Arabidopsis thaliana: one gene and its partners. The protein of the gene in region 2 binds, or shares a complex with, the protein of the main gene of each other region. Each region holds a gene or a part of one and is shown on either strand. Other genes may lie near its edges. The genes, in order: AT3G54630, AT1G61000 and AT3G48210.

Region 1 (5,921 bases), on a different chromosome or scaffold from region 2:
GCTAGCTGAAGCACTCGAATCTTCCGGTTTCACAGTTCCCACCTGAAGAAAATCATATCAAATCAACACACAACCAAACATTCCTTATTGTTGAAATCATCAATTCCTTTAATCTGAATACACATAAGAAATGGATCTAAGAGACGTACACGACGAGCAACAGCAGCGCAAGCAAGCTCGAGCTTGCTCTTAAGAATCGCATGATACTGATTAGGATCAACAACAACAGGAGCTGAAGAATCAACCGGATCAGACGACGGAGCACGATTCCGATTCTTCCCTTGATCATCAACAGGGAGCCGTCGATGATTCTGCGGTTTCTGAATCTCAACAACATCTTCGGTTTCGTCAACGGTTTCTTCTAATCTCGAAAGAGACTGAACCGGTGGAGGTGATCTCTCGATTGTGTTAGTCGTAGGGCTCGAATCGGAACCAGACAACTCATTGATAAGCCTGTGGAACGCCCACTCCGATTGACTTCGAGTCATCCCATCCGCCACGTTCTGCGTCGGTGACGGAGTCGATGACGATCCCGGCGACGGCGCCGGAGCGGGAACAGGCCAGAAGGATTCGGTCAAATCATCGACAGAGAAGACGATGTGCATCGCTTACCCAATCGCCTCAAATTCTTCTTCTTCTTTTTTCTCTCTCTCTCTCTCTCTCGCTCTTTCCTTAATTTGTTTTTGTCTTACGTGGAGCCGCCATTATTGATTAGGATACTTGACACGTTTCTGTATTGTATTGGATTAGTACTAACCAACATATCTTTTTTCTGTTAATAATTTAATAAAAATGCAAATTAAGGCATTCAAAGGCATTTTAAATTTCTACTTTAGTTGATGTGTGTCATTTACTTTGTGGGCAAAAGGGTAAGAATAATGTGTTGGCTTTATAGATAAGCAGCTTAGGTTTCCTTTGTCTTTTTTAACTCCTTCCTCTCATTTTCTTGATTTGATAGCTACTCTCTCTTATTCATATCATCAGTAAGATATTCTCACCACATATGATGCATGAGTAAGCAAGCTTTAAACAAGTAAAGGAGGAACTCAGTGAGACTGAAGAAAGTGGTAACCCAAAGAGGTTACAACCGAGGAGCTGCAAACATAGCCTGACTTCAAGAGACCCGAGGGGATAAACCGAATAAGAATCAAAGTCACCTAAGTCAGCTTATGGTAAAAAGAAGGTAAGAGTGTATTCATTGGAAATCCTATGTAACTTGATCATAACAGCGTTCTTTGAGTTAAACATTGTGAATATTAGATTATGTGCCTATCATCTAAGTTTCAATGAAAAAAGAAACACAGATATTTATATACTACTAGCATAGCTGAGCAATTTCAATTATCCATCCTGAAAACTCATACATACCACACATAGATGCTAATACGACTATGTGAACAAAAGCAATAGGAATTACTCACGCTTTTAACAATCTCTTGGCTCAGTTGATTCCAACCACTAGATACCAAGGTTCTTCTTGAAGTTGGCTTTGTATATCTCTGAAACAGCACTGGCAGTATCAGCAACACCGGTTTTGATCTCCGATATCTTCGAATCCATGTACTCTTTCTGTTTCGATATCGAATCGATAAGTGCAAAGAGTTGTGCAGCACATGCTTGGACCTCCTCTTCACTCTCCTTCACTGCTTCTTGCAATCTAAGCTCCGAAGCTTTTACAAACTCAGCAGCTTCTTTCTCCACAACCTCCAGATTCAAAGCCTCAGCTTTCACACTCTCAACCAATGTTTTCGCCTCCAAATCACATTTTGTACTCAACTCCTGAGTTTCCTTCTTCACCAACTTCATCTTTTCTTCGAGGTCATTGATCTGCAACTGAATTGACCCAAGAAGACTCCTTTTGGATTCGATCTTCGAAGCCATTTCAGACTTATGGTGCTGTAAAGTGACCAATTCCTCCACTTTCTCCGCCGAGCTTCCTTTGATCCCATCGCACAACGAACACAGAGCTGGCTTCACCACCGATTTATAATCCACACCCATCACCGCTGCAGGTGTTTCCCCTCTCTCGTTAACAGCGAACTGAATATCAAGCTTCAATCTCCTGAGAGCTTGGTTGCAGTCAATGGCAAGTGTCTGAATCTGATGAAACTGATTCCTAATCTGTGAATTGAGTTCCCAAGCTTTCTGATCCCAACCATCTCTAGCAACCTCAGCATCCGCAACATCTCTTTCCACAGCTTGTAACTCTCTTCTCATCCTATTTACATCCGCCGCGCTAAAGTTCTGAAGCTCCACACTCTTCTTCAACTCCTTATTCTCTACAGAGATTCGCTCTCTCTCTTCTTCCTTAGCTTTGAGCTCCTTAGCTTTCTCCTCCACAACTTTCTCCATCGCTGGATTCCTATCAGTATACTCCACAACAATAGTTCGGAACTTGTTTACGTCATTCTCCAAATCGGCTTTAACTTTCTCCAGAGACTCTTTCTTCGAAGGACCTTTCCTCAGTGACTCAAGTTTAGCCTCCAATTCACCGGAGATTTTCTCACAACCAGAGATAGTTTCAGCGACGCTAGTCTTCTCCGCTTCCAATTTACCCAAAAATTGAGAATCTAAATCGTTAACCTTATCATCCTCGCCGCGAATGAAGTGACCAAAGCTTTGAATCGCGAAGAAATTCATGGAGTTATCTTCGGGTACGGAGGTGGAATTAGATACTAGATGTTGATGGAAACGAGCAAGCTCAGCTAACCAGTGAACAACGGCGAGAACAGTAGGCCAATTGTGAGGCGTATTTGGAGCTTTGAGGCTAGATTTGGTGATCTTAAAAGGACATTTCTGCGATTTGAGAAAGAAGACGAGATCCTCGTCCCATTTGATGGAATCGCAAGGGTAATCTAAAGCTGAGAGCAAGAATTTTAGGGTTTCGGAGATGTCTTTGACAGAAGGAACAGGATTACCGCGGATAGAGATCGGGAAGTTATGTGTGGAGAGGAAGGCGTTAATGAATCGAATCATCGAAGATCTGTCATCGGAGGCTCCTCGGCCGCCTAAACCGATTGATGAAGGACGGCTGCTGGCGAAACTGGCGTCGGAGTCTCTTGAGTTAAAGAGGTGACGTTGTTGCTCGATTGATGGTGGAGGTGGCGGCGGCGCTCCGCCGAAACCCACCGTCGTTCTTCTCTTTCCCGCGGCTCCGCCTCTCATCTCTTTTTTGCTTTTTACAGATAAAGCAACTGACACTGGAACTGGATCGGGAAATATATTTCTATAGAGCAGCGGGATGGATTACTTTTGTAATTTGAATTTTCGAAAACCTAAAAAAACCTCTTCGAATTTCTTTGTTTTTTTATTTCTCATTCATTTCAAAAGAAATTATATATAGGGTTGTTTTGTTCTGGTTTAATCGAACCATAATATCAAACCGGGTCGCAAATTTATCGAACCAAATTGGAAAACAATTTGAGTCATAACGTTTTTATTATTCTGTGTAAACCGAGCAACTGGTTGTGTGGCTTGAGTCACAGTAACTTATTAATCATACTTGAAATGTATCAAAAGATTGAGACATCATTGTCACACACCGATAATAATCAAAAACACAATCTAAAGATGTTGTCTGCAAATGTTTGTGTTTCAAAGAAGAGCAGATTTAAGAGACTTGGTTAGTTTCTCAAGCTCCTTAAGTCCTTCAGTTGGCGACTTTGCATCACCCAATAGCTTTACCATTGCACTGCCTACGATCACTCCATCAGCTCCCCATCCAGCTATCTGTTGACACAACAAAACTAGTCAGCAAAGAAGTAACTATGAAGACAACATAAGAGAAGCTTTGTAAGGTTTAGGACCTGTTTCACATGCTCCGGCTTTGATATTCCAAAACCGACTGCCACCGGCTTGTCTGTCGCCTGCATTGAATTACAAATGACTAAACAACTTGAGCATTTCTACATCATTTCAAGATATTTGAGAAACAATCTTTAAAAAAAAAACTGTTATTAGACCTCTTTGATATCCTTCAAGAGCGACTGAACCTTTCCGCTTACAGATGATCGTGCACCAGTCACTCCAATTGAGCTCACCTGTTAAACCCAAAAAAAGGGCCAATACATTCTCAAATTAAGTAAACACATGTGACATCTGCAAAGAGAAATATACACTGAGAGGGATCTTACAAGGTAAATAAATCCTTCTGACGCATCAACAATTAGCTTCATTCGCTCTGTTGGTGTGGTTGGTGTAGTGAGTAGGACCTTGATTACAAACATTGAGCAAAATTATGTTTACTAAAAGGCAAAGATACTGAAAGCCGAATGTCAAAATAGATCGAGGCAGATCCAGCAAAACACATGTATAGTACTGTAGTCTCAGTGTCTACACTAAACAATGCTTCTACTGTTTCTATTGATAAGGCTGGCAAATAAATCTCCACAGAGACAAATGATACGTAGGTTCAGCTAAGAAAAACCAAATTCGAGGAGACGAAGAAAATAAATAAGATACACAAATGAATCTATACTGCACTGGCATGACTGAGAATCATGCTACCAAGATATATGCGTCCTTCAGATTATATGCTTACCAGCTCAATGTCGTTGTTGAGGGCTTCTTTTCTCAGCATCTCAGTTTCCTCAAGAGGAACATCGGGAACCACAAGTCCCTGTACACCAACAGCTCTGATGCTGGACATGAACTTCCCCAACCCACGTTTAAGAATCGGGTTGTAATACGTGAACAACGAAATCGGACAAGATATTTGTGGAACAACCTGCACCAAGTCCAACAATAAGAACACACATATAGGAACGATATCTGACAGGGGACACAAACACACATCTTTCCTTCAGAAACTAAACTCACCTTATCCAACATCTCAAGGATGCTATCGAGGTTTGTTCCCCTCTCCAACGACCTTGTTGCCGCAGCCTAGTTGAATAGATAACAAAGAGCAAGATGATCAAACAAAAAAAAGGCAAGGGAAGCATATATAAAGGTTGCATTTTGATAGTTGGTTTAAACCTGAATAACAGGTCCATCAGCTAAAGGGTCAGAGTAAGGAACACCCAATTCGATTATGTCAGAACCACAAGCATCAAGAACTTTCAATGCTTCAGCAGTAGTAGAGAGATCCGGATCACCAGCTGTGATATATGGTATGAATGCTACCTTCACACATAAAAGTTAAACAAATTGCAAATGAACTGTAAATTACAAAATCCAATCGTATCAGTAAGACCAAGATTGCAAACCTAATCAAACTCAATGCTAACTCAATCTGATAAGAAGAATTCATAAGCAATAACAACACATGGTTTTGTGATTCTTTCAAATCCAAATTTCCCACCAGAACTAACGATAAGTTTTAAAAGTCCAATTCTTGAGGAACGGATTGGAATATGAAAGACGGAGAATTAACGTACTTTGCCTTGTTTTTTGAGCTGTGTGAAAGTATCAGCGAGACCGAGAGTAGGAGAAGAGGTGGAGAGAGAAGCCATGGGAGTGAATCTCTTGAAAGAAAGCGATGAATCAGGAGGAGAAGAATGGCGGAATCCAATTTGAGATTTTGGGGATTGGAGGAAGAAGACGCCGGATTTGAAAGCAATCGCCATTTGAAAAACTTTGTGGAATTTTGGAAATGAGTTTGGTTGAAGAAGAGCGAGTGTTTATTTTTATATATAAAAACTGAGTAACAGCGATTCCACGTTTGAGATATATGAAAAAAATGAGGTAGGTGAAATCTACCAGCCAAGAGTATTCAGGCGCCGTCACTTACATCTTCGAGCTATTTTGACTTCTGACTTGCTCTTCCATCTTTGTTTTGTAAAAATCAAACACCCATATTTTTGTTTTTCCATTTTGTAAGATATTTGATTTCATTATTAAAATTTGACTAAAGATTATTCTTTGATAAAGATTAGTATATTTGAACTTTCTAAACTATTTGAATAAAAAAAGATGAACAA
Region 2 (7,209 bases):
GAGGATCCGTGCTGTATGCTGTAAAACGAAAGATATGCGCCTGTAACACTTTTTAAGAAAGCGAAGAATAGCTGCTCTGACATTCTCTTTTGCAGACACTGAGAAACTACTGCGGGGCTCTTCCTTATCAATTTTCACAAATGTATCATCGGTATTTTCTTCACTGGTAGAGCTTTCTGCATGATTGCAAAAGAGGCAGTGTCAGTACCTGCAAACGTCAAAGATATTGAGCTCCTACAAACAGTCTATCCAAACCAATAAAAAAACACCTTGATCAGTCTTTGACACTTCTAAACTATCAGTTGCAGCAACAACTCGAGGAACATCTGCAGCAGTACTTTCATCATTACGTGACCACAACCCTGCACTTGTTATCTATATCACAGAAAATCAGTTGGTTAGAGAACTAAGGATGAATAGAAATTTTATTTGTGGCTAACTGATTTCAAGAAAGAGTTTTCCAAAGTACGAGTGAGGAACCAGTTCAAAGCCTAGAAAATCTAAAATTTTTCACTAATTATGCATGCTAGCATCAGAAGCGATAATAGCTACATACCTTGATTTGCATAAGCTCTGCTTCAGCTAACTCAACTCCAGTCAGCTCACTTGAACAACCAGGCTTTAATAATAATCAAAAAAATTAACGAAATTAGTTAGAGAGAAACAATAATGGTCAGATAAGAGAAGCTTAGGAGAGTCTAGCAAAGATAAATCTTAGGAAGGCATGCACACTACACGAAACTCTTAAAGTAGAAGAGAGCTAAGCCAACAGATATTTGATTTTTGAAGTTTGCAATCTTAGAAGTATTCAAATGCATTTGCATAGGCCGTAATTCCTATTGGAAAGTGTACTAATGTTTACATAAACATAAACACAAAGAAATCAGAAAAGTATCTTCCGTCGGATTTATATAATTATGACCAGTGCAACCTTAGTAAAGATACAAACAGTAGTCTCCTAACCACGCTCATGCGAACATGTTCTACAGAATTAGCTTAAGCTCCACAATTCATATCAGATTACTCCTAACACAGAAAAATGCTACATCATCCTTTTCAAATTGTAGTATCTCAGACTTAAAATTTCAACAATGAAGTCATTAACAAAGGCAATTTGCACTAAAAACGACCTATAAATTAAAGGATTCAATACGAGAGTCAAAAATTACCTGCTGAACATAATTGGCGTGCATAACAACGAGGATACAGAACAAAGTGATGGCAACGAAGAGGTAAGTATACTCTAAGAAACCTCTAATCCTTGGCGTTAAGATCTGCGAAAACCTCTCCTGAACCCTAATAAACGTCTGCTCCGGATCCATATTTCGGATCTCCGATGCACTTTTTCGTCTTCTTCGTTAACACTACGTAGTCATCGAATTTGAATTGCTCCGTTGCGAGGATCGTAGATTTCTTCTCGTTCTGGGAGATTGTCGAATCCACAGAAATTGAAGAGTGAAGATGATTGAAAAGAAAAGCACCGCGAAGCAAATTTTACACTTTGTTTGCTGTTAAATTGTTTTTATTTTTCTTCAAAAATCCCTAGTGAGAGTGGCGCAATTGGGAAAGCGATAGGATTCTTTTGCTTCCAGGACAAGAGTTCGATTCCTTCAACACAACCATAAAGCTCTCATTTTCTCTTCATTTTTTTTCTGTTAACATTCTTTTATAAACTACTTCAATACATGCCATTTCCATGAAGAGAAATTCATAACATTTTCCAACTTTAATACAATCACAAGAGGAATTTAGTAGTCAAATTCTTAACCATTTGCAGAGAAAATGTGCTCATTACAATCTCTCGTCTACCTTAATTTAGATGAATCAGACCTTCCTTGTCCTTTAGAGGCTTGGTAGAAACGCATCAAACGACACCGTGTATTCATGAAACTGCAAATATCAAAAGCAAGGCTCACTAATATGTCTTACAGAGAATCTGGAAGAACCCTAGTAGCTTTTTAACTTTGGAAACCTCTTTAACTTGATGCACCACAAAGCTTTTGTTTCCATGGTTCAATATATTAGCAGATAAAAATAATGGAAACGAAATAAACCTGCTTCACGATCTCTTCATATTTAGCGGCTAGTTTTTTAACTTTAGCTTCTCCTGACTGTCTCACCTGGTTAGTCTTCGCAGTATTGTCATCAACCTGTTGATATATAAACAAATAAAACTTACGGAGATGATAAAGCATCGTGCACAACAGATTCACGTTGTTAGATGTTCGATAGAAAGGAAGCAATACCATAGCTACTACTGATTCAACATTCGTTTGCCTGGTTTCAAGTTCACGTCTTCTGGATTCAACCTCCACTTTTAATTCATTCAACTGTTTCGTCCAATCATCAAACATGACTGCTTTTTCTTTCTCTAGTTGTTTCAATGATTCGTTCAACTGTTCCACTGTTGACAGAAGAGATGATTACAGTCTCCGTCCCAAAACAAAATTCAGAAACAATATCTGAAGAAGGAAGAAATAAACCAACACTTGCCTATTCTTTCCCGCTCAACCACTTTCGCCTCAAGTGATTTGTATGCTACCCCATCCTCACTCAGCTTATCTTTAAGAGCTTTGAATTCTTTCTCAACCGTTTTCGCATTGGTTACCTGTAACATCATCAAATATACATAAAAATGAAAGATAAATCTAAAGACACATTAGATCTCATTCCAATAATTGGAAGGATCTGTGTGTTGCCACATGCTAGAGATACAATACATGGTTCACAATCTATAAGCAATGAAAGAGGAAAGGAGTTTTTTTGCTTGGTCACCTGTTCGTTTATTAACTGCAGTTGCGAAGATGACTTTAAAATTTTCTTCAAGGCCTGCAAAAGGCAACCATAGTTGAATAAACTTTATTACCTCAATATTAAAGCAAAACTTATTCGACTCAAAAATAAAGCATAAAACTGTTGCAAGACAAAACATAAGAAAATTTTGAAGTAACAACACAGAATAAGGTCTCAATCTAATATTTTCCATCTTGGGATCATTCTCATCCACTATACAACAAAATAAAAGAAGTTCTTCCTAAAGCTTCTGGACAGAATTTCATGAAGTATGAACAAAAGTGATAGAGCAATAAACACACCAAACTTAGAAGAATAATGACTTGAAATATCCTTCTCTAAAAACTGGTTTGAGAGCAGTATCCGCAGTGACCATTAAGTTGCAAATGTCGTAAATGCATTTAGCTACTTGCTAAGCGACAGGATTTAGTAACAATCTAGAGTTTTCATTAGATACCTTTTCAAAAACCTCAAGAATGGCAGCCTTTTCCTGGAAAGTTACCATTGCTGATTGTTCAGCTTTCTTTGTTTCCCCAAGTACTAGTTTCTTCTCTTCTAAAGCTCCCTGTCTCCACAACAAACGTTTATACTAGTGTATACCAAAAGTTTATCTTAGGACTAGTACTAGTTGGAATAAAAATATACCTGCAATTTGTCCGGTGATTGAACAATTTGTGAGCGGAGGTTTGCATTTTCTTGGACAGTTTCCACAAGATCAAACTCTGCTTTGGAAATCTGTAGAGAGAAATACACATGTCAGGAGCAGAAAACGCCTCTCAAGTTCAAGCATATGCAAATCACCTAATTGACAAACAAAATTTGTTTCTTCACCAACTTCATAATAAATTACAAATAACCCAATTTAGTTTGAGGAAGGAGCTCGACACCATATCCTGCGGTTACGTACCTCGTTATCCATCTGTGTACTCTTCTCTCTCATTTTCTGGAAGGTAGCTCGCAGTGACATCTGCTGATTATTTAGTTCCAATATTTTTTTATTCAGTTGTTCAATGTTCGCTTCTAGCTCTTGGACAAAAGGTAAGTCCCTCTCAACGGCTTCATCAAATTCTCCAATCTCTGCATTCAACTGCATGTACAGCTTTTAGAAAAAGATAAATGACTTATCTATGGGATACATATTTTTCTTGCATTACCTGAGCAACCTTTGCCTCACACTGCTTTCGCTGCTCATCAAGGAGACCCAACTCTTCTGCCTTTGGTCTTATAAGATCCATTTTCGAGTCTCTGGTACGAAAAAAAGATTAAAGAAGATCAAGTGGGACAAATAAGAACTCTCTATTTTAACTTCTTGGTGCATCGAAATAGATACTACAGAGAAGAACTAAGAGCATGAAGGACATACTTGTATAGACCATAGTTCAAAAGTGCGCTGATGAAAAACTCGGTTCGGGATGATTCAGGGCGTAAGAGATCCTTGAAACTAATTGGTAATGGACAATCAAGCATTTCTAACATATCTTTCACTTTGCAATAAAGCTTCATAGCTTGCATTGAAGTGGCATGATGATCTGGATTCTCCAATTGCTCCAAAGCCTCAAAATCAACTTGCCCTTTCTCTTCTCTACAATGTCGAAAAACGCAATTCAAAAAAGAAGCATCATCAGAAATTCCCCCAAATTGAAACAAAAAATAGGGTTTTCAAAATTACTTAGCAGTTCATACAATCAAAAATAGAAAATCCCAAAGATTCAATATTTAACATAATTTCTGACAGAATTCGATGACCTAGCTCGAAACTAGACGAAGAGTTTCAAAATCGAGGGTAAAATTGAGTGAAGAGCTAAGAGAGGAACTAGGGTTTTGAGGAGTACATACTCGTCGAGGGCGTCGAGATAGATAAGAATTCTGGTGTAAAGCTCGGAGACAAAGTCGGAAGTTGGGGTTTTGAGATCGGTCTCTGTAACGCTAGCGATTTGAGCATCCTTGAGCGCCGTGATAATGTCGGAACGAGAGAGCCTCGGGTACTCGTAGGCTGACATAGTTTTCAGTTTTGGTCAGGTTCGGATTTGTTGTGTCTGGATTCGAAGAAACTGAAAATGACAATTTGGAAAGAAATGAAAAAAAAAAAAGAGAGCCTTTGATTTTAGTTGGGTCAGGTTCGATTTGTTTTTTGCATTTGCTTTTCCCGCCTATATGAAACTGCAGTCTCTGCAGATATTGATGCATATTTGGATACGGTAGAACGTAGAAGCTTTTATAAATAAAATTAAAAAAGAAACTTTAATCTACAAAAAAAAAAATTAAGCATTTTAATATTGTAGAGATTTGGTCTTAATATCTTGATGCACTAGACATCTTGCCAAAACATAGAGGTCAAGAGACATTCACTGATGTGAATAATGTATACTTTGTACGTGGAAAAATAATAGAAAATGTGCTCATTACAATCTCTCTTCTACCTTACTTTAGCTCAATCAGACCTGCCTTGTACTTTAGAGGCTTGGTAGAAACGCATCAAACGACACCGTGTATTCATGAAACTGCAAATATCAAAAGCAAGGCTCACTAATATGTCTTACAAAGAATCTGGAAGAAGCCTAGTACTTTTTTAACTTTAGAAACCTCTTAACTTGATGCACCACAAAGCTTTTGCTTCCATATCCTAGATCAGCATAATGATAGAAAAATGCATATGGGAAAAGCACGAATCAGCAAAATGATTTATGAAAAAACCTAAAAAAGTTAAAAACTCATAGTTGATAACATCCATAAGACTTGATCATTATCACAGTAGGGTAGTAGCAAAGTTTCTCAATAAACACCTTCTTAAATAACATCCATTAGACTTGATCATTCACTATTACTAAACATGGGAACAGAAACATCATCAGATGGATAAAACTCTATGATGATTTAAGATACCTCAACGATGACTTTAAAAAGCTACTAAGAAGCTGAGAGAGGGATTGGTTTCACAGCGCTCTGAATCCGCTCAAAAGCTACTCTCACTCTTTCCTTAAGACCTGAATGCTCACTCTCTACCTCTCCACTCTCTTTATCCAGCTGAGCGACATTGCCATCGACCCTAATCACCAGTTTCCCGTTTTCTCCTAGTTTCACATCCCCGAAAAGCGAAACAAGAAGTGCGTATATCACTTTCTCAACTTTCTTCCCGTTCTCTTCCTCGGATTTCACAGCATCTTCTTCTTCCATAACGATCTTGGGGACTTCTCGGCTGATGTTGAGAATCAGAGCTACAATGGAGTCTGAAACCATGTCACTTATTGGATCTGATGACCACTGAAGTGAGATGTGCTTCTCTGACTCTTGTTTCACCGTTACTCTTTCATGAACTTTCAGTGCTGGAAGCCCCGATTCCTCATCTGTTGAAAATTCCACGCTCTCGAAAATCTTCTCCAGGCGATGTTTTATCACACCAAAAGCTCCTACAAACGGGATTGTAATTCGCTGAGTTACAGTTGCTGTTGATAGCTGTGAGAAAACATGGAGTTCGTCAGGTGCCATTATCTGATAAGTGAACCCTTTCTTCACCAGAATCCCGCTTACTGTATCGCCAACATCAGGTGTCTTTTCCGCCAATCTCCCAATGGTTTTCGCCAATTTCTCAGAATTAAAATACATTTCCACTGACTCACAGTTCTTCGGGGTCATGATCTTTGTGTTTCCATCAGGAAACTCTGTTAAGAGCTTCTGTTTGAGCCTCATCATCTCGTTAGCTTCACCGTGAACAAGGATGATGTTAGGAGGCATGAGCTCTTTCAAGAACGTGCTCGTCTGCGCGTAATCTGCATGAGCAGAGAACGATATATAGTGCACTTGCATGTTGAGCGGAGCAGTAAGACCATTCATAAGAGTCACCTCCTTTGGTTCATTAATTATCGTCTTGGCCAGTGTACCTTCCACCATATAACCTGGTATGATACAAGCATTCTTCTTATCTGAACACCAGCTGTCAAAGAGTTGCCTTGAGAGACCGCTTTGAAGACCTCCAGGAGTAGCCATTACCACAGATGGACCGACATCATTAAAATCATCGATGCTGTTTAATGGAGAAATGTGCTTGAACACAAACGGATTAGAATTTGCAAACTGGTTGCGGATTCTGTCGTTCATAGATAATATGTAGGTTTGGTAAACCGCCATACACTTTTTGGCGAGTGGTGATGCATAGTAGATTGGGATATTGTGTAGATCTGGGTGGTTCGCCCAGTATTCATCAAGAATCAAGAGAAGTTCCTGAGCACGGCCCAGTGCAAAAGCCGGGATCAGCACACGTCCACCCTGAGCAACCGTTGAATGGATTACATCAGTGAAGCGTTTCTCACGAATATGACGAGATTGATGAAGCTGGACACCAGAAGTGGATTCAATGATGCATATGTCAGGGGAGAATTGAGGAAGCTCAGCTGCTCTCAGATGTCGGTCTTCCTCACG
Region 3 (6,249 bases), on a different chromosome or scaffold from region 2:
AAACTCTCATTCTTCATGGTCAATCCTCTGCAGAGTCCTACCTGAAGTAGTCGTGGCTCACTACGAATGCGAAACTTGGGGTCTTCCACGATCTCTAAGTTCTTACATCTCTTCTTTCATAACCCACAAATTCAATACTCAATTCCCAAACGTTACACTCGCCGTGGCTTACACTCATGTTGGATTGATTTTGATCAGCTCTGGCAACAAATTACTAACTTACTATGTGGCTAATCCGATCTCAAGACAATGTGTCGAAATCCCTCAGCCTCCTCCAACAGTTGGTTATTTTTTAACCTCTGGGCTTGTCACAAAACTTGAGGATCACGTCGTTTTAGGTTACAAAGTTGTTTTGATGGATACAAGTAACTTGGACGATGTCATAAGTTTACTGATATATTCATCCGAGACAGGGTTATGGAGTTTCAAAACCCTCCAATCTCATCTCACTTTGTCTGGTCTGATAGATTACAACCCTGTTAGCTTGTATGGAAACCTTTACTGGATAGGCTACAACAACGACTATGGAGAGGTTGTTGTGTTCCATGATTTCTACGCGACTGGCACGGAATCTGATCGATGCCAAGTTACACCTTTCCCTGACGGTGGAACGAAACCACCAAATTTAAAATGAGTTTGCACAACATCTCAAGGATATATCATGTACATGAACATCTTCTCCCAAGACAAAGATGATGCACATGTAGAGCATAAGTTACGTGTATGGAGGCTAAAGAGCCGGGAATGGGAAATAGTATCTGAAATATCTCTAGCTTGTAGTGAGACTGGTTTTGATTACATTCCGCTGGCAATAAACCCTTTTGATGCTAATACAATGTACATGTGGTGCAAGATGCATTCATGTTTGGGGTCTACTAATTTGCGTAAAGACAAGTTCGGGCTTCACAACAGCTTGGAATGTTGCAAAGATTATCAAACTCTGAGTTTTGCTGGGGATTGTAACATGTTGGAAGACCTTTATCACTTATACTTTTCCATGTTCGTTCTCCCGCGTTGGCTACACCAAATCCCTTCTTCGCCTTCATGAGCGAGGTGAAGAGTCGTTTCAAGAGGAACAACGAGTTGGAGAATGGTGTTTGATTTGTTTTCTTGTCTAATTTAAGATAGAAAATATGGTTGTGGCTATATTTTTAGTTTTAAAATTGCATAAACTGTACATCTCTAATGCACAATCTATGGCTCAAGTATCCATCATTATCTCTAATGCGCAATCTTAATGAAGCTAGACAAGCATCCATTAGCTAACGAAATCTAGAAATAGAGAAGCGCGAGATTACATCGATTAAAATCTAGTCCCACAAGCTCCATCATCGATTGGTGTATAAGCATAGCATCCACACTAGTAAAGAAATCAACATTGTCAATAAGCGTGATTACAATGACATTCTAATATTTATAGGAATTTCAAACAACAATCTGTTGTTGTCGAAAGTTCCGCAGCATCATCTACGCTTAAGTTTATTCCTTGATGCTTGTGAAAAGGAAAACAGAGCTCCACCTTCATTTCTTACCCTGTAACAAGTTAGAGTTGCTATATAAGTTGTATGTTAAATACTATAGGCTCCATGTGATCAGTTAAGTATTATTAATCAGATAGAACATTATTATGTCCAGTTGTTATGCAAATAGGTTCTGGTATCCTACTTTTGGAAACTATAGTATCTAACAAATATTTTGAATTTGGTTTGGTGTTGTAACATTTAAGAACACAATGAGTATCCAGTACCTTAAAGCGAGAAGAACGGCGAGTGGCAGATGTGGATACAGGAGCTAGGAGTGGTGATTCGCTACCTCTTTTTTGTCGCCGATTCACTTGAACCTTAGATCTTTTGTTTTCTGGAGTTGACATGTTTGTATCAGTGGAAAATGATATAGCTGGAGCTGAAGCAGATATGGCAGACGTTTCCTGTTGCAGTTGTCCTGAATGTGTTGGCAGCTCTGACAAAATCCAATAAAACACAAGTCTTGGTCATATTCAACTTTTATATATATCGAAAATAAGATTTCTCACTTATGGAGATAGAGGTTATAAAAGGATAGGCTTGAGACAATTTACCAGATAAAGTGGATTTCAGAAACTGCTCCCTCATCAGACGAACAAATCTGAAAAGGTCATTGGTTTTATTCAATTCTTGAACCATCTCGTTGATGTAATCCAATTGCAGATCGCTATCCAATACTGATGATCATATAAGTAAACGACTGTAAACAGTTCATATTACTAGGTTTTTTTGTAAACATTATAATGTAGTTGATGCTTGCTTCAAGAAGACATATATATACTCACGTGTGTAGATGTCATTTCCATAGTGAACTGTGAACGAAAATTCGCGGGTCGGCCTTTTTGCATCAATGTTGGTGAATGTGAATTTAACTCCTGTAAGAGAAGTTAAAACAACAAAGCTCTTTTAGGGCTAAGGTTTAGTAATATAGAACTAAGATTGTTACAAACTCAAAATGTCTCTATTACCATGTCCAGCTTCAACGTGAAAACCGAGAGCATGATTATACCAAGAGATTGCTTCATGAATATCTGCTTTGTCTTCGGTGACTTTACCAGCGTTGTCCTTCGATTTTGACAAGGCTTTATTGGAAGAAATATGTTAGCTTGGTCTTCAGTGATTCATGTGATCTCTTATTGAAACAAGCAGAGTACTTTTTATAGATATCTTCACTTTACAAAATCCCAAAGCATGTAGCTGACTCATGAAACTTGTATGTATAATGAACTTCAGAATTATATAACGATACCTTGCAACTGTTGGGAGATAATTCTCACAGAATCATCCTTCTTTGACTTCTGTAGCTGCAAATTTCTTCTAAGTACTTCAATCCTAGATTGTGTTGCAGAAATGGAATCTCTTATCCCCATTTGCCGTGCCTCTTTACGGGTTTTCACTAAACATCAAACATATAACATCCCAAAGACAGTAAGATATCCAAACTCAGCAAAACAATGTATGTAAGCATGAAAATAACACCAAGGAGAATCTTATGATTTAAGAAACTAAGTTCAAAGTTTCAAGCTTTTGAGGTAATAATACCTGCCAACACTTTAACTAGCTCATCCTCTGCTTCTCTCAGATCCGCTTTCAAATTCATTAGTTCCACTGTAAAATCAAAGAAACATTTCACAGAACCGCTCAATTTTACCAGTCTGATGTCGAAATTTTAAAACCCTAATTTCAGAGAGACAGAGCCTAAACCGTAAAAAAGTGTGAAATTTACGATCTGGGTCATACGGAACTGAGTGGTACTATGCGAATTTTGAATTTTACCTTGGCTTTGAGCAGTGGCTTGAGCTCGCTCCACTAAAGAGTTCATCGATCTCCGGAAAGGAGAAGCGATGAAAGAATCGATTTTAAGACGCTGTTCATGAATATCTTTCTCACAGATGAGACCCAGAGACGCCATAGTCTCTTTCGTTGTGTCTCCACCAGCGATGTTGCTAATTTGTTCCATCACCAAAGAGAGAAAGAGAGAGACTGAATCGAAGTTTAGCCCGCCATTTGAATTTTGATTCGAGTTTCGAAAATATGCTTCAAAACGCGAACCATCGTGATGAGAACTTTAAAACGATGGCGTTTTCATATCGTGCTACGTCCAAATTTATTGGGCTCCTTAAAAGGCTATTCTGAGACAGGCCCATTTGTCTGGTTTCTCGTTTACCGAAAGTAGTTCAGTCATCGGCAAACGTTTGATTTAATACGCGTTTGGCATCAATCACTATTTTGATTTATAACATTTTTAATCGCTCTAAATCAAAACCCTTACTTACAATATAGTTACAATAATATTATTTTTATCATACCAATTTTTCGGAAAATAGTAATATTGAATAGTGTGTGAAAGGTTGAAAATTGAACCGTTAGGATTTTAATTAGTTAGCCGAAGGAGCTGACAAAACCGAATACTACGGTTACACTTTAGAGAGTCAAAGACTCTTTTAATGCATTAACTACGTTTTCTGCATTGCATCATTGCATGTCTTCTCTTCCTTCAAGCAACTAGTCTTTTAATTAACACTAAATACATATTGAACATAACAATTCCTTCGTCTAGTTTCAATATGTATTTTCAGTTTTTTCACGTCCCTAGCTCACTTTAGACCTGCAAAGTGTTTTTTTTTTTAAAATAATAAATTAGAGTATTTTCACTATATATCAGTAGAAATGGGTGCGTATGTTTTTGATAATTAATTCAATAAAACCTGTAATGAGTAGATAAGACAATGAGTTTACTGTGTAAGTAAGCAAAAGGGACAAAAATGTGTTTTGTACATTATTTTGTTCTGTGTTTGTACATTAATTTGTTCTGTTTAGAATTTTTATAGATATTGGACCATGCAGAGGGTGTTAACTTGTTATAGCATTAACCATGTGCTAGATATATAGCATCGGAGCTTAAACGAATTATCAGTGTTAGATAGTTTGCTTGATTACTTCAACTTGAAGTAATCTGGCTGGCTTTATAATTAAGCTATTATCTTATAATTAGGCTATTATCTTTAATTTAATTGAAACTAATACTTTTGAGGAAAACTAATCGGATGAAATATTTCGAAAGAACTTTTTACATTGCAACGCACCCGTCCTGAGAATTAATGCGTTGTTGTCGAAGGAGAAAGGGCCATAAAATATGGATGAAGTAAATCGATCGAAGAAAGTCTTTATAAGGATCAAAATAAGGTTCAAATCCAATATGAATGAATGTTGACCCTAATTTTGGCCTCGGAAATCTTTATGATCATAGGAAAAAATCATTGTACACATCAAAATTTCTTATGAAAAGTAAACTGAGTTTTTGTTCATTACTCTTAATTATTGTAATTCTTTCCTTCCACAACAATAACTTATGAAAAGTAAACTGAGGATATGAGGATCTATCCTATGAGGTTTTCCATTCCTACAGCCTCCATCCTGCAATGTCGCGATAAATATAAATTATTAGTCAACACAAATTAAAAGGTATACTTGATCAATATACGTAAATATATACGAGGTTACGAATTATTACGGAGGAGCTGGAAAGCCACATTTTTCGTGAAGACATTTACGGAGACAAGGGGTCTCAGGGACAGTGATGCGGCCACCACATTGGTCGATGCACATTTGCTTGCATGTTGTTCTTATTATAATTGCTTCTCCTCCTCGTATGGATGCCATCACCACCATCATCATTATCATCATGATCATACTACATTTCTTCATCTCCATTTTTTTTTAGTTTCTTTCCTTTAATTTTTTCCCTGTAAGTGTATGTTTACGTATACATGTCTTTTTTGTCATAGGTGTGTGTGTAGTATATATAAAACTAATGTCCAGAAAAGTTAAAATCATTAATTTAAAGTTTGACTAGACTATAATTAAAAATATTAAAATTTTCTTTATTACTTTTGCAAGTTTGTTTTTGTCAACATTTTTCTTTATTACTTATAATGGTTCTAATTAGATTTCTTTTGATATATATAATTACTTTCAAGTTTCATATAATATTTATATTGAAGGTTAGAAAGAAGAAAAAAAGTCAGTTGCCAGAGTACACATATATAAATGTACATGCATGAGATTATGCTAGAAGAGAAACAAATCTAACTGGACAATTGAAGTTCAATAGCGTAGCCTGGCGGCAAACAAAATGGAGAAACAGTTGAAGTTTAATTTAGCAAATTTTAGGTAATGATGATTGATGGATGTGGGTTTTAATTGATTACATGCTGATGTGGTGATGTAAAGTGTGTGTGCGCGTCAAAGTGAAAATACCTGAAGAAAATTCGAGTGCACTAGTTTTTAATGGGCCGCCTCGACAATTCGAGGTTTTGGACAACAAACCGATCTAAATCTGGATTTTAGTTCCTATTAGCCGTGATTTTAAACATCACATTTGAATGCATTGTTCAAACATTCAAGCATTTGACCAGTTTGAATGTTCTGTTTAATTTTAAATATCAAATTGGTCAAATGTTTGAATAATACACGCAATTGTATAGTAATTTTTTGTGTGTCATTTGAGATTGTTTGAAATTTTGAAAATAAAACGGATGATATAAATATGACTTATTTAAGAGATGGTGGTTAATTTTTGTACGTCTGAGTGAGTTAGTGGACTATAAGTAAATCTTTCATTTGTGTGATTAAAATGGATTAATGAAGTGAGTTATTTTTTTTTTAAGAGGTCACAAATAGACCCACCACTAATACTGTATCTTTGGATTTTGCACCATTTAGT

Evidence for each region.
Region 1: AT1G61000 (region 2) and AT3G54630 share a complex: the UniProt entries of both Arabidopsis thaliana proteins name them as parts of the NDC80 complex.
Region 3: AT1G61000 (region 2) and AT3G48210 share a complex: the UniProt entries of both Arabidopsis thaliana proteins name them as parts of the NDC80 complex.

What each region holds. Positions count from the first base shown.
Region 1 is NC_003074.8:20,219,737-20,225,657, forward strand, and holds AT3G54630 (kinetochore protein), read right to left. Parts: upstream 3,293-5,921; 5' UTR 3,166-3,292; coding exon 1,459-3,165; 3' UTR 1,361-1,458; downstream 1-1,360. Other genes in the region: BZIP25 (basic leucine zipper 25), read right to left, coding at 1-42, 150-605; TSA1 (tryptophan synthase alpha chain), read right to left, coding at 3,595-3,729, 3,807-3,866, 3,963-4,040, 4,134-4,211, 4,541-4,726, 4,819-4,884, 4,978-5,124, 5,379-5,567. UniProt on the Arabidopsis thaliana protein: Acts as a component of the essential kinetochore-associated NDC80 complex, which is required for chromosome segregation and spindle checkpoint activity to ensure proper cell division.
Region 2 is NC_003070.9:22,469,254-22,476,462, forward strand, and holds AT1G61000 (kinetochore protein), read right to left. Parts: upstream 4,935-7,209; 5' UTR 4,794-4,934; coding exon 4,630-4,793; intron 4,376-4,629; coding exon 4,157-4,375; intron 4,039-4,156; coding exon 3,948-4,038; intron 3,881-3,947; coding exon 3,701-3,880; intron 3,529-3,700; coding exon 3,439-3,528; intron 3,359-3,438; coding exon 3,251-3,358; intron 2,830-3,250; coding exon 2,776-2,829; intron 2,609-2,775; coding exon 2,494-2,608; intron 2,405-2,493; coding exon 2,247-2,404; intron 2,151-2,246; coding exon 2,055-2,150; intron 1,891-2,054; coding exon 1,843-1,890; 3' UTR 1,575-1,842; downstream 1-1,574. Other genes in the region: AT1G60995 (S3 self-incompatibility locus-linked pollen protein), read right to left, coding at 1-176, 270-375, 557-619, 1,170-1,322; CPSF73-I (cleavage and polyadenylation specificity factor 73-I), read right to left, coding at 5,701-7,209. UniProt on the Arabidopsis thaliana protein: Acts as a component of the essential kinetochore-associated NDC80 complex, which is required for chromosome segregation and spindle checkpoint activity to ensure proper cell division.
Region 3 is NC_003074.8:17,846,669-17,852,917, reverse strand, and holds AT3G48210 (kinetochore protein), read right to left. Parts: upstream 3,568-6,249; 5' UTR 3,484-3,567; coding exon 3,300-3,483; intron 3,132-3,299; coding exon 3,066-3,131; intron 2,920-3,065; coding exon 2,773-2,919; intron 2,606-2,772; coding exon 2,492-2,605; intron 2,399-2,491; coding exon 2,309-2,398; intron 2,201-2,308; coding exon 2,078-2,200; intron 1,960-2,077; coding exon 1,748-1,959; intron 1,534-1,747; coding exon 1,522-1,533; 3' UTR 1,133-1,521; downstream 1-1,132. Other genes in the region: AT3G48220 (F-box protein), read left to right, coding at 34-634; AT3G48209 (Plant thionin family protein), read right to left, coding at 5,034-5,237. UniProt on the Arabidopsis thaliana protein: Acts as a component of the essential kinetochore-associated NDC80 complex, which is required for chromosome segregation and spindle checkpoint activity to ensure proper cell division.